3 linked regions of the Schizosaccharomyces pombe genome follow. Changing the gene in region 2 together with the main gene of any one other region gives a genetic interaction. Each region holds a gene or a part of one and is shown on either strand. Other genes may lie near its edges. The genes, in order: ptn1, gnr1 and ado1.

Region 1 (3,826 bases), on a different chromosome or scaffold from region 2:
CTGATAACAAGAATTCACCGTCCGCGGACCAGCTGAAAATTGTAAGCATTGTAGAACAAATTGTTATAAAACACTTACTCTAGTGTATTAACACATCCCGTATGACCAGTTAATTCTTTCTGCAAATCTATACCGGTCAACCAAGTCGAATTGCCGTAGATATCTCGACTGACTAATAAACTAGTTAGCATCATTCAAAAACAAAACAAGAGCATACTTTTTCGCTGAAACCAATCTCTATAATCCAATTGACGCAAGGATAGTGATATCCCAGACATGAGAGTCAATTCAGCGATTAACAAGCGTTGGTGGAAGACAAGCTCAATTCAAGTGGATGTCGGTAATGTAGCCACGATGAGTTAATACCATAAATCGTAACTGCAAACTCGAATCTTAGAGTATAAGCCTTAAACTCAAACTCCTATGTTTTTTTTAAAATTTAAAAAAAAAACTTGAAGCGCCTCTGTAATTTACTGAAGTAGAAACACTTCAACATGTGAGTTTATTTCGATGATCGAAAGGAGGATCTAATTGCACAAATAATCATTTTATTTTACACTAATATAATATTTACAAAATATCAAAAAACATTTTCATATACAATTGTCAGTTGTTCGAAAAAGGGGTCACTTCGTCGGCTATTATCCATTTCAGACCAGGAGAACGAAATTGACTGTTGTCCTTGCAGAAAGGAATTTATACCTTGTTGAAAATTTATCCCGTTTGTGTATTCCACAAGCATAGGTTGAAAGTGAGTATGAAACCAACATTGCACACTCGAAGGAAAGTAAAACTGGCCCTTGCGTTCGACTCTGAGCAAAAGGTCTTTCTCCGATGTTTCTAGGTTGCATTGTATCCCCCATATACGTTTTCCTTCTTTTATGCTTACATTATGGGATGATATATCTGAACTCTTCCACAGAGCAACTGGATTTATGTTTCGTCCCTTAGAGAAGGCATGCAATGATAGAATCAAAGATGAATTTTTTTTAATATTCAAACATTTAAAACTTTTAAAAAAAGTGGTACCAGTATTAAATTCCACAGCTTTCAAATAATTCGGGAACTGTTTTAAAATTTCGATATAATAGACGTAACGTATTTGCGATGAAATGGTAAGACCGTGCCCTCGAACCATTCTTTTTTCAGTATATAGTTCAAGACTTTGCTTGGCTGTCAAGCCTCCGAAAGCTACCAAGTAGCTACATATTACAGTTCCTGTACGTCCTTTTCCGGCCTTACAATGAACTACCAATGTCAACAAAGGTTGCGTTTGAAAGAGTGCATCCATATTCATAACAATAGCCCATAAAAAGAGAAGCGGAGGTGGATTATGATCTTGAAATCCATAATTTATGACATTTGGTTTAAATAATTCCAAATGGTAAACTGTTTCTTCGGCACATAAATTCAACAATATCCAGTTGTCTTTCAATTGCGTTGTAAGATATTTAAATACATCCAATTCGTCGTTTCGATATAACTTATGTATTCCAGCAGCCGGTGTAGACATAGCAATTACCTTGGAAGTAATATAAACCATATCTAAGTAAGCAAAGCTACGATTCACTTTTTCTTGTTTGAGGCCTTTTCGACCCCTCGAAACTACTGATCGAAGTATATTCATGGAAAATTACATGTTTAATTAGTTATTTGTAATATACTAGGATAATACTGCAGATGCCGTTGACTGTTGAAATATGAGGTAAGCTGCACTGTTCAGAAGAAAATAAGAGAAATACAATAAAGATTTTAGTAATGAACTTTAAGCGGGTAGGTATCAACCATAGTGACGTGAATAAATAACTAATTTACTTTTAATTATTTATATATTTTGATAGCAATGATTTGATAATCCATTTTATTGAAAAAAACATAAGGGCATAACTTTTCCCTTTAAACGATGCAAAAGTATTACTAGTAAAAAAAAATAATAAAGAAATAAAAAAAAAAAAATGAGAAAAATGAATAAAAAAAGCCAATAAGAAATACAATCGTAAGACATGAACCGTAAATAAGCATTAAAATATTTTGATAAAAATCCTTAAAAACATTTAAGTCCACCAAAAAACAAACAAACCCATGCGATTATTCGAATCCTCTAAAATAAATCCAAAACGTTTAGGTAAAAAGAAATAAGTGGTAGAAGTATATAACGTTAGACATATGCAATTAATCATACATTAAAAATAAATCGTGAGGCATACACATTAGCGAAGATCACCAGTTATTGAAGATTAACTGGATAGAGGACTTTGTAAAGTAATTAACGAGAGTGAGTAAGTAGCGGAAGTATCAGCAAATATAAGTACACTAACCTCTTGGCCTGGACGGATGGTTTGAACAACCTCAGGCTCTTTCATACGTAAACTATGAAGTTTTCCATCTCCGGAAATATCCTGATTGCCAGAGGAACTTTTAGCTGTTTTACTAGTACTGTCATTGCCTCGAGCCTTTGAATAGAAAGACTCCTGGGACTCAGCAGCGTTAGCTAAATCCCGAACCTGTGCATCCATCATATCGCATATTTGTTTGCACATCCCGTTGGAATCCAAAAATTTTTTCTTAAAGTCATTGAAACAAGGTGTATCAATTTCCAAAGAAGATGAAGCATAAAAGAAAGAAGCATTTGTCCTCCATGATAAATAGAGTTCGTGTTTTTGCTCATTAAAGTCGCAGTTACTAAGCGGTAGCAGATCCAAGGAGATCCTTCTTTCCAAGCCAAATTCGTATATGACTATGTCAATATACTCCTGGTCAACAGCCAAAACAAAAGCCTTATGCTTAACGAGCCCAGATCGTAAATTAATAGAATGGAGAAGTTGACATAAATATGCATGTAGACTTTTTTCCTGGGCATTACGGTAGAAGTTGCTCAGTGTGTTACAAGACTGAGTTATAGAAAGTAAACTTCTGTAGTCTTTGGAAAAGTCTGGTCTGCCATCAAAGGCTTCGCGTAATTGTCTCTGTACACATATATCGATATATCTACGAGTAGGGTGACAAAAATGGGTGTAGTAAGGACAAGAGAACACAAAATGCGAAACATCCTTAGCATTTGAAGTACCGATAGTGTATTCAGATTCATTACACATTCTTCTTAGAGTCAATTGTAGTAACATTTTGGTTCTCTTATCCTTGGTAGTTGCAATTTCGGTCATGATTTCCGAAGGAGTAGATGAAGCAGATAAATTCACTCCGGTTAACTCAGAAACTGCAACAAGAGATGCAAAGTCAGAAGGTCTTTGATTTTTTCGCAAAATCACTTTACTGGGAAAAACAGACATTAAATGAGATGCAACTTTCTCGTTTACCCAATGTTCAATTTGTTGTAAAGAACATGCAATAGGGAATGCCTCAAAAATACTCATGTTAATATTCTGTATATTAGGAATCTGCCCATCGCAAAATTCAAAGCAGTATAAGGATTGTAAGTCAAGTTTCTTATCTGTTTTCAATCTTAGTTTGGTAAGGACATGGGCCGATGCATCAACTAGCTGAAGCGCTTCGTTGGTTTGCAAGTTTGCTTGTGCACTTTCTAAACTAATAAAACTTGACGGGTGGATTACAGAGGGCCCAAGGGAACACTGTAAAACAGCGCCGCTTTTCAAATCAAGCTGTACAACTATACTAATTGTTAAACAATCATGTCCCTCTATAAGGGAAATCTCTTCTGAGACCTTTTTCGGTAAAAAGGGTACGGAACCTTGCAACAATTGTACTTCTGATACTCTATTGGCAGCTTCATCATCAAGAGGCATATCTTGCTTAACGTAATACGCGACGTCTGCAACGTGTATTCCAAGTGTGATGACTCCGTCGATGG
Region 2 (3,956 bases):
ATATGGGTTCCATGATGGCCAAGGCAAAGGCAGAAGCAGCCTTGCCAGTGGGTACTAAAGAGATGGTTTCGACAGAGTCTCCTACGTATAAAGCCCTTACAAAGCAGGGATACAGCGTAGTTGGCTCACATAGTGGTGTAAAGATTTGCAGATGGACAAAGTCTGCTATGCGTGGCCGAGGCTTTTGCTATAAGTATAGTTTCTATGGAATTCGAAGTCATCTATGTATGGAAGCTACCCCAAGTTTAGCCTGTGCTAATAAATGTACTTTTTGTTGGAGACATGGTACGAATCCCGTAGGAACCTCTTGGCGCTGGAAGGTTGATCCTCCAGAAATGATACTTCAGGGTATATTGAAGGCTCATTATGCCAAGTTAAAATTAATGAAAGGTGTACCTGGTGTTCTACCCGACAGATATGAAGAAGCGTCTCGTGTTCGTCACTGTGCTTTGTCCTTGGTTGGAGAGCCTATATTTTATCCATACATAAACGAATTTGTGTCCATGCTTCATGAAAGAGAGATTTCATCGTTCTTAGTAACAAATGCCCAGCATCCTGAAGCATTAAGAAATATGGGTATGGTCACTCAACTCTACGTTTCTGTTGATGCCAGTACTAAGCAGAGTCTCAAATCAGTAGACCGACCATTATTCAAGGATTTTTGGGAGCGAATGCTAACGTGTTTGGAGATTTTACGTGAAAAGCGGCAGCGTACTGTTTACCGAATGACCTTGGTGAAGGGATTCAACATGGAGCAAATTAAAGAGTATACTGAACTGATTCGTCTTGGTGTGCCTTGTTTCATCGAAGTTAAGGGGGTTACTTATAGTGGTAATTCGGATCAATCACCGTTGACTATGAAGAATGTGCCTTATTATGAAGAGGTAATTGACTTTGTTAAAAAATTGATTGAGTATATTGATATTCATTTACAAGACCTTGGCGTCCGCTATGAAATTGCTGCAGAACATGCACACAGCTGCAGTATTTTAGTTGCTCAAACTGCGTTCAAAAAAGATGGCCATTGGCATACTCACATTGATTATCCAAAGTTTTTCGAATTAATACGGACAAAGAAAGACTTTGGTCCATTCGATTATATGGCATCCACGCCCGATTTTGCCATGTTTGGGAACGGTGGATTCAGTCCAGAGGATACAAGATTTCACAGGAAGAAAAAGACACAAACATCTAAACCAATTTCTGCAACCATTTCAGAAACTGCTACAATTTCGGAAGCCGCTGCGTAAGCCAACTTTTGTAGTAAATAGCTGAAGAAAAAAAAGAGTGACACACTCTAAAGTTTATGAACTGTTGAGCAGTTTTTGTACGCGTCTGCACTCATTGATAAAAAAAAATTAAGATTTTGGCATAGGTTATTTTCGTTAATTCATTAATATATTTTTTGATTTATCAATACAAAAAAACGATGAAGGCTTATTTGCTTAATTTCGTTCATATATTTATAGTTTCAATGGGCGTAAAGTAATAAAAATGTTGACGATATTGTACTCAATTGTTTTTTTAGTTAGACAAGTATATCGCAACCTGTCTCTATTTTTATTTATATAGTAACCTGAGTCGTAACTTTTAATTTTCTTTTTTTTTTATGATTGAGAAACAAAGAATACATTCTTTCTGTTTTAGGACTCGTGGAAATGTCTTGGAGTAATTCGAGCATACTGAGATTACAACTACTACATATGATTACAATTCGTTTTTTAAAGAAGGACTATTCGTTTTCAACCCTTATGACCAGATAGAAAGAAATCCATATATATATTATATATTTAAAAAATTAAAGTTGACATTGTGAAGAGCCATAATCCATACATGGTTAATAAAGTAGGTTAACTTGAGGAAGGAATGGATAATTGTGTAAACTCCTTTGAGGATCAGAAGGATGACTTGGTGCATAAGAAGAAAAGTCAAAATTTCGGCTATGTATGCGGAAGTATTAATTTAGGAACAAATGTGATTGCTCAAAGTCCAACAAAGCCATTGAATTTTTTTCATTCGTCAAGATGGTCGCCGGATGGATCGACTATACTTTCGTTAACAGAGGATCAATGTCTTAACTGTTGGAATGTGCCGTTTTCCGATTTATCCAAAAAGGCTGATGGACCATTGAACTTTTCAAAACATCTGTCGTATAAATATCAATCACCGGAAACAGTTTACAGTTACAGTTGGTATTCGAGAATGAAACTTGACGATCCTTCCAGTAACCTTTTTGCAGTGTCTAGTAGGGATCAACCTATCAAGTTGATCAATTTTACTACAGGAAAGAACAAGGCTTCATATCACATGATAGATCACCAAGAGAGATATCAAGGATCGCATTGTTTACAGTTTACCAACGATGGGGAGTATTTGATTGCGGGTGATAAAAACTGTCTCCATCATTTTAATATAAGAACGGGATGTAAAGAACCTGTCATGACAACGGTAACCCATGGATATAAAGTCCCTCTTTGGGAATTTAGTCTTAAGGGTATACAGTCATGCTTTTCCTTGAATCCGATGGATTCGAAAACATTGGCAGTGGGAACGTATTCAAATCGAGTTGGGATTTATAATGATTGCGGACGTCGCCCTTGTCAGCTAGAGTTTTCGATTGAAAGAGGAAACGGAGTGACACATCTACAATGGTGTGAGGATGGAGAAAAGTTATATGTTGGAAGCAGATGCAGTGATAAGATTGAAGTTTGGGATATACGGTATGTGCGCGACATGGTATATGCTCTTGAAGGGCATCGTGGCGATACGAACCAAAGGATTCTTTTCGACACTGATAAAAAGGATGAAATTTTGGCAGGTGGGACGGATGGAAGTATTCGTAGATGGAGAAACAAGGATCTTGTGGAAGAAACGCATGTGACGGGAAATTACGATTTGACGGTAAACACAGTACAAGCGAACCCTATAAACATGCAGATAAAGTGTGTATGTTATGGAAATAGAATTTACAAGTATGAGAAGGATGAAAGTGAAGAAGAGGATGAAAGTAAAGAGAAGGATCTTTGGACAGGAACGGTTTCGGCTTTACAGGTTTGGATGGATTGAAAAAGCAAAATTTGGAATGAATGAATACTTGAAAAAATAAAAAATGGTGAGCTTGAAGGAAGAACTTTATGAGGATGATTTGATTATTAATAGAAAAACATTAGAAAACCGGTTCTAAATTGGTGTATTGGTGAATGGGTGTTTTTTTCGCAATCAGGAGGAGTCCTCAGACATGTTGAGGGGTTTCATTATTTAGATTATGATAAATTAAAAAATAAAAGAGATGAATTTTATGCAAATAGTTGATTATAAGAGCGCAACAATCTTTGTATTAATAAAACTACACATTCGCTTATTAAATAACCTTAAACTCGGTTATACATGGATTTCCAAGTGTCGCAAGTAGAGGAGAAATGGAGAAAATGGAAAGCAAAGAATGGATGAAAATTGTAAATCAGCAGTTTCGAACTTTTCAAAAATTTGTTAAAAATATTAATTTTTCAATTTAATTGAATTTTGTTTTACAAGGTGGATACTATGGAGGAAAAAACAAGATATGTATGGAAAAGGTAGCGATCGCAAAGGAAAAAAAATATTAGAAAAGGAAATGGAATGAAATTAATTGAACGAAATGAAAAGGACATGAAAATAAACAGAAGTATAGAACAAGAAAAAAAAAATTTTTTTTTAAAATAACATAAGGATGGAAGTGATCCGGAGTGAATAAATAGAGGGAAATGAAAAAAATAAATAAATAAAAAATAAATAATAAAATAAAAAATATTTATATACACATACATATAGATTGGAAAAAGATGAAAGAAAAAAAATGAACCAACCAATCTATCAATAAGTAAATCAATTAATCAATAAATATATAAAAATAAAAATTCTAAAACCAAGAAAAAAAAAAGAAAAAGAAAAAAGATTGAAATCTTATAAACAAATCC
Region 3 (3,861 bases), 580 kb from region 2:
CAAGTTGTCGTAAAGACGTTCACCATATTCAAATAGCTTTGCACTTTCATCTTTGATGTAAGAAGTTTTCACATCAAAATCTCTGTCTACATAGTAACAGTTAGTTACTGAACGCGTTAGTCAATATCGTACCCGTAAGTGATTGTAAAAATGTGCTATATCCACCGATATCATGGTCGGCAACAGCCAAAACCGTCTGACGAGCTGCTTGTACTAAAAGCGACCATGTAAGGGCCAAAGCAATACACAATGCGCTCTTCATCGTAGCTGTGTTTCCAAGTGCAAATGTTGGTAGAAGAAGAGATCACTGGTATTAACCAAGCATAGCTACCTCCGCATACTGGTGCTTATGGGATTGCGTTGAACTAATTAACGATATTTTTATAAGAGCATTCAAAATAACGCTAAACTACTTTCAATAACATAAAGACACGTAAAAATTTACTCAACAGTACACTATTATAAAAGTAATTCGTCCAATTTTTATTTGAAATCCTAAATTCCATCGATTGAAATGAATTTAAATTCTTTATATTTCTATTCAACAAAGAAATATTCTCGGTAATAAAATCAGCGTTAGCTTAGCTCCCCTCAGCAATGCTTTATTTAGCAAATTTCTTAACATTGGAATAAATGGCATATACAAATCCCTCAAGAAGTCAAAATGGGTTATTTCCTTGCAATATAATATCCAGTTATTTATATCAGCTTAGCAAAAATAGACTTGTTCTATTAGCTTATAACAATGATACGACAGAACCCATGACATATCAATAAGATAACAAAATATCAATGTCAAAGAATAAAGCCTGCTTTTCTAACTAATTGCAATCATAGTGTGCACAATTTTTAAAGTTAAACATCTAATTAAAACGAAGTGCGTTATCTACGTTGACAGTTTAAAAAATCACTAAAATGCAATAGTCTAAGGTAAAGGGAACTGCTTTTTGGGAAGAGGAAGAGTAGTGCCGCTAACCTTGATGCATTCTTGTCCAAGCCAATGACCGAGAGTAACAGCATAATCGATTCCTTGGCCTTGAGAAAGAGCAGCAATAAATCCACCAGCAAAGGCATCTCCGGCACCATTGGTATCGACGATTTCCTCAGATGGGACGCGGTTGGGCTTGTAAGTGGTTACTTTACCGTCTTTAGCAACGATCGTGGCATCGGCTCCTTGAGTAATGACAACAACACGGGTGCGTTTCTTGTTAACCTTCTCAACAGAAGACAAGGCCAGCGCAATCTCCTGGACGTCGGTACTTTTGATTCCATGATTCTCCCCGTAGCTAAGGATTTCAGCTTCGTTGCCAATAACATAATCACAATATGGGATAACGGAATCCATTTGCTCCTTGAAAAATTGAGAGAGGAAAGGAGCGCTAAGATTCATGATATAGGGCTTGTTATTCTCATTAGCATGTTGAGCTAAACATAACATGGATTCGGGACTGACGGTCAAGTGAAAACCACCGACGTAAATAACCTTTGCTTCCTCAACGAACTTCCATACATTCGGCTGTTGCAAGTCCTTGAGCTTGTAGTTGTTAGCAGCTCCCAAGTTGGTACAAAGGGAGCGATTTTTATTGTTGTTGCTCAAGACGACAGCACAAACACCAGTAGGTGTAGTGGGATCAACAGAAAACTCAGATCGTAATCCAGCTTTTTCGTTCGATTCAAGAAGCATATCAGCAAACTTATCTTGACCAACGCAGCCGGCGAAAACAGTAGAGTTAGGAGGAAGTACGTATTGAGCAGCACGGCAGCTGTTTTGAGCTGCACCACCGGCACTGTAGCTAACGCATGGCTCCTTGTAGATACCCATCTGGCTCTCAGAAGCTAAGACGGCGTCGTTGCTCTTCAAGCCATACTTTTCAAGAGTTGCAGTTTCACCACCAACATAGTAATCCAACAGAGGGTTTTCCAAACCAAACAAGATGTATGAAGACATGATAAATGATTGTAGTAAGGGAAGGGAAAAAGTTAAAGAAAAACCACGAGAAAATACACCAACAGGTAAAGTATCTTAATGTTCAAAGAGCGATATTATGGCATAATTGTAATGCGTTATATTATTAATACTATACTGCGTTAAATATCGATACATGCCATATGGTCTGTTTATCTTTCGCTATATATTGTATGGTAAAGGCATACTATTTTTAATAAACTATTAAAATTTGAGCAGCTAAAAAAATTATCAATATAAGCATAACTGTACAAGCATCCTCAATTTCAGTTATTAGCTATATTGGTGAAAAATATAATACTATGTAACTGAAGATTGACAGTGTATGTTACTTATTGTACCTGTATACTGGAATTCTAGGTCACAACTAATACTCATCGCAATTTTAACCTTCATTAAACTGATTGCAAACTGCATAATTAAACGATATAAACTGTATCACACTCCTTTGCGCCTCGGTATATTATAATCACAATACTTATTTAAGAAGGCCGATCACGAGAAAAATTAGAACTAATAAAGATTAAAAGAGTCGATATTTGATGCTATATACAATTGGTCATGAATATTAACTCCATTCCTGTATTATTTTTTTAACAAAGGGGTTGCTTCAACTTTTAGCGGAAAACTTATCAAAGTGTGGAAGAAATAATAAACTAAGATAAATGATGATCGAGTTGCACTGCGTCAGGGTAGCCGGTTGTCAAAATTTTCAATATACGAATAAAGAAATAAAAACAAAAATAGAGTGAAAAAAAAATAGATATCGGCATCATGCTAAACGTGGAGACGATGATCCGCCGTTTTTTAGGATAAATTTAGGATATGACAGGAGATTACAACTAAAGAACTTTTGGTGCTTCTTCAAATATCCTGAATAAAAAAGGTCGTTAATCTTCACCTTGAACATTCGCTTTCTTTTCCATAATAGCGCTAACAATATCTATGGATAGTAGCTGTAGGTTTAAATCGTTGATCAATTGCTCTGGGGCTGTAGAATCACTTTCCCATACTAATAAGATTAGAATTTCTTGCAAACGCTCAAAGCTATGTCGGAGATTAGCTTGATCATTGGAAAAGATAGTAATTAAGCTAGAAATGTCGTTTTCTAATGCCATAGCACCATAATCATTCCACTGAATCTTATATAGTATGAGGTTTTCTATATAACTTGCAGCTTTCTCGCATGCCATAGAGCGTAAAGAAAGCTGATTTTCAGGAGTAAATTGCTCCAGCAACAAAACCCTGTCCCAAACGCTGCGAAGACGGGTAACTACCAGTCTTTCATGTTCTGTCTCCTTCGTATAGTCTTCATAGGACAAGACATAGTTGATTCCATCAAAGGAATCATCGATGCATTGCTCAATTCGGGGTAATAAAAATATCGGAAAGTACATGTTGAAAGAAGTCTTGCAAAGATTTTCAAAATTAACGGTTAGCTGCAAAAAATTATCAATCGATTTCTTTACCAATTTTTGGTCTTTGGCAAAGGCAAAAACTTCTTCCAACCGACTAGAAACACCATCCACAATTGATTTTAGATATTGCTTGCTGAGTGAAGCACTATTTACCAATGTTATGTAGTTTTCGACTTGTTTGGCGGGAATGCTATTTGCATTCTTTAGCCTCTGGAACTGAGCTTTTATAATGTTACAGACAGTTAAAAGATTATGGGAAAGGTAGACATAGTAATCATTTCTTAAAATAGGGATTAAGCTTTCGTTAACAAATCTGGTGAAGAATAAAGAGGAGACTGTAAAAAACGCACGTTGGAATACTTGCTTCGTAACGTACATGACATCGTCTACAATAGAGCTCATCCATGGGGAAACCTTTGTGTAATATTCCTCAAGTTCCAAAGACGTTTCTATACTTCTCCTGAAATAGTATGTTTC

What was found.
Region 1: mutations in gnr1 (region 2) and ptn1 together harm fitness less than expected from each alone (positive genetic interaction), as found in Schizosaccharomyces pombe (one large-scale study listed by BioGRID).
Region 3: mutations in gnr1 (region 2) and ado1 together harm fitness more than expected from each alone (negative genetic interaction), as found in Schizosaccharomyces pombe (one large-scale study listed by BioGRID).

What each region holds. Positions count from the first base shown.
Region 1 is NC_003423.3:3,159,624-3,163,449, reverse strand, and holds ptn1 (phosphatidylinositol-3,4,5-trisphosphate3-phosphatase Ptn1), read right to left. Parts: upstream 1,722-3,826; 5' UTR 1,628-1,721; coding exon 581-1,627; 3' UTR 509-580; downstream 1-508. Other genes in the region: iqw1 (WD repeat-containing protein), read right to left, coding at 1-32, 79-172, 218-278; SPOM_SPBC609.01 (Dis3-like exonuclease family protein), read right to left, coding at 2,238-3,826. UniProt on the Schizosaccharomyces pombe protein: Acts as a phosphoinositide 3-phosphatase and regulates PtdIns(3,4,5)P3 levels.
Region 2 is NC_003421.2:765,280-769,235, reverse strand, and holds gnr1 (heterotrimeric G protein beta subunit Gnr1 ), read left to right. Parts: upstream 1-1,692; 5' UTR 1,693-1,866; coding exon 1,867-3,066; 3' UTR 3,067-3,300; downstream 3,301-3,956. Other genes in the region: wybutosine biosynthesis protein Tyw1, read left to right, coding at 1-1,250. UniProt on the Schizosaccharomyces pombe protein: Negatively regulates the pheromone-response pathway. Acts as a structural mimic of the G protein beta subunit thereby interacting with gpa1 which then inhibits gpa1 signaling.
Region 3 is NC_003421.2:1,349,137-1,352,997, forward strand, and holds ado1 (adenosine kinase), read right to left. Parts: upstream 1,983-3,861; 5' UTR 1,949-1,982; coding exon 926-1,948; 3' UTR 501-925; downstream 1-500. Other genes in the region: dolichyl-diphosphooligosaccharide--protein glycotransferase subunit Wbp1, read right to left, coding at 1-86, 133-262; COG complex subunit Cog4, read right to left, coding at 2,857-3,861.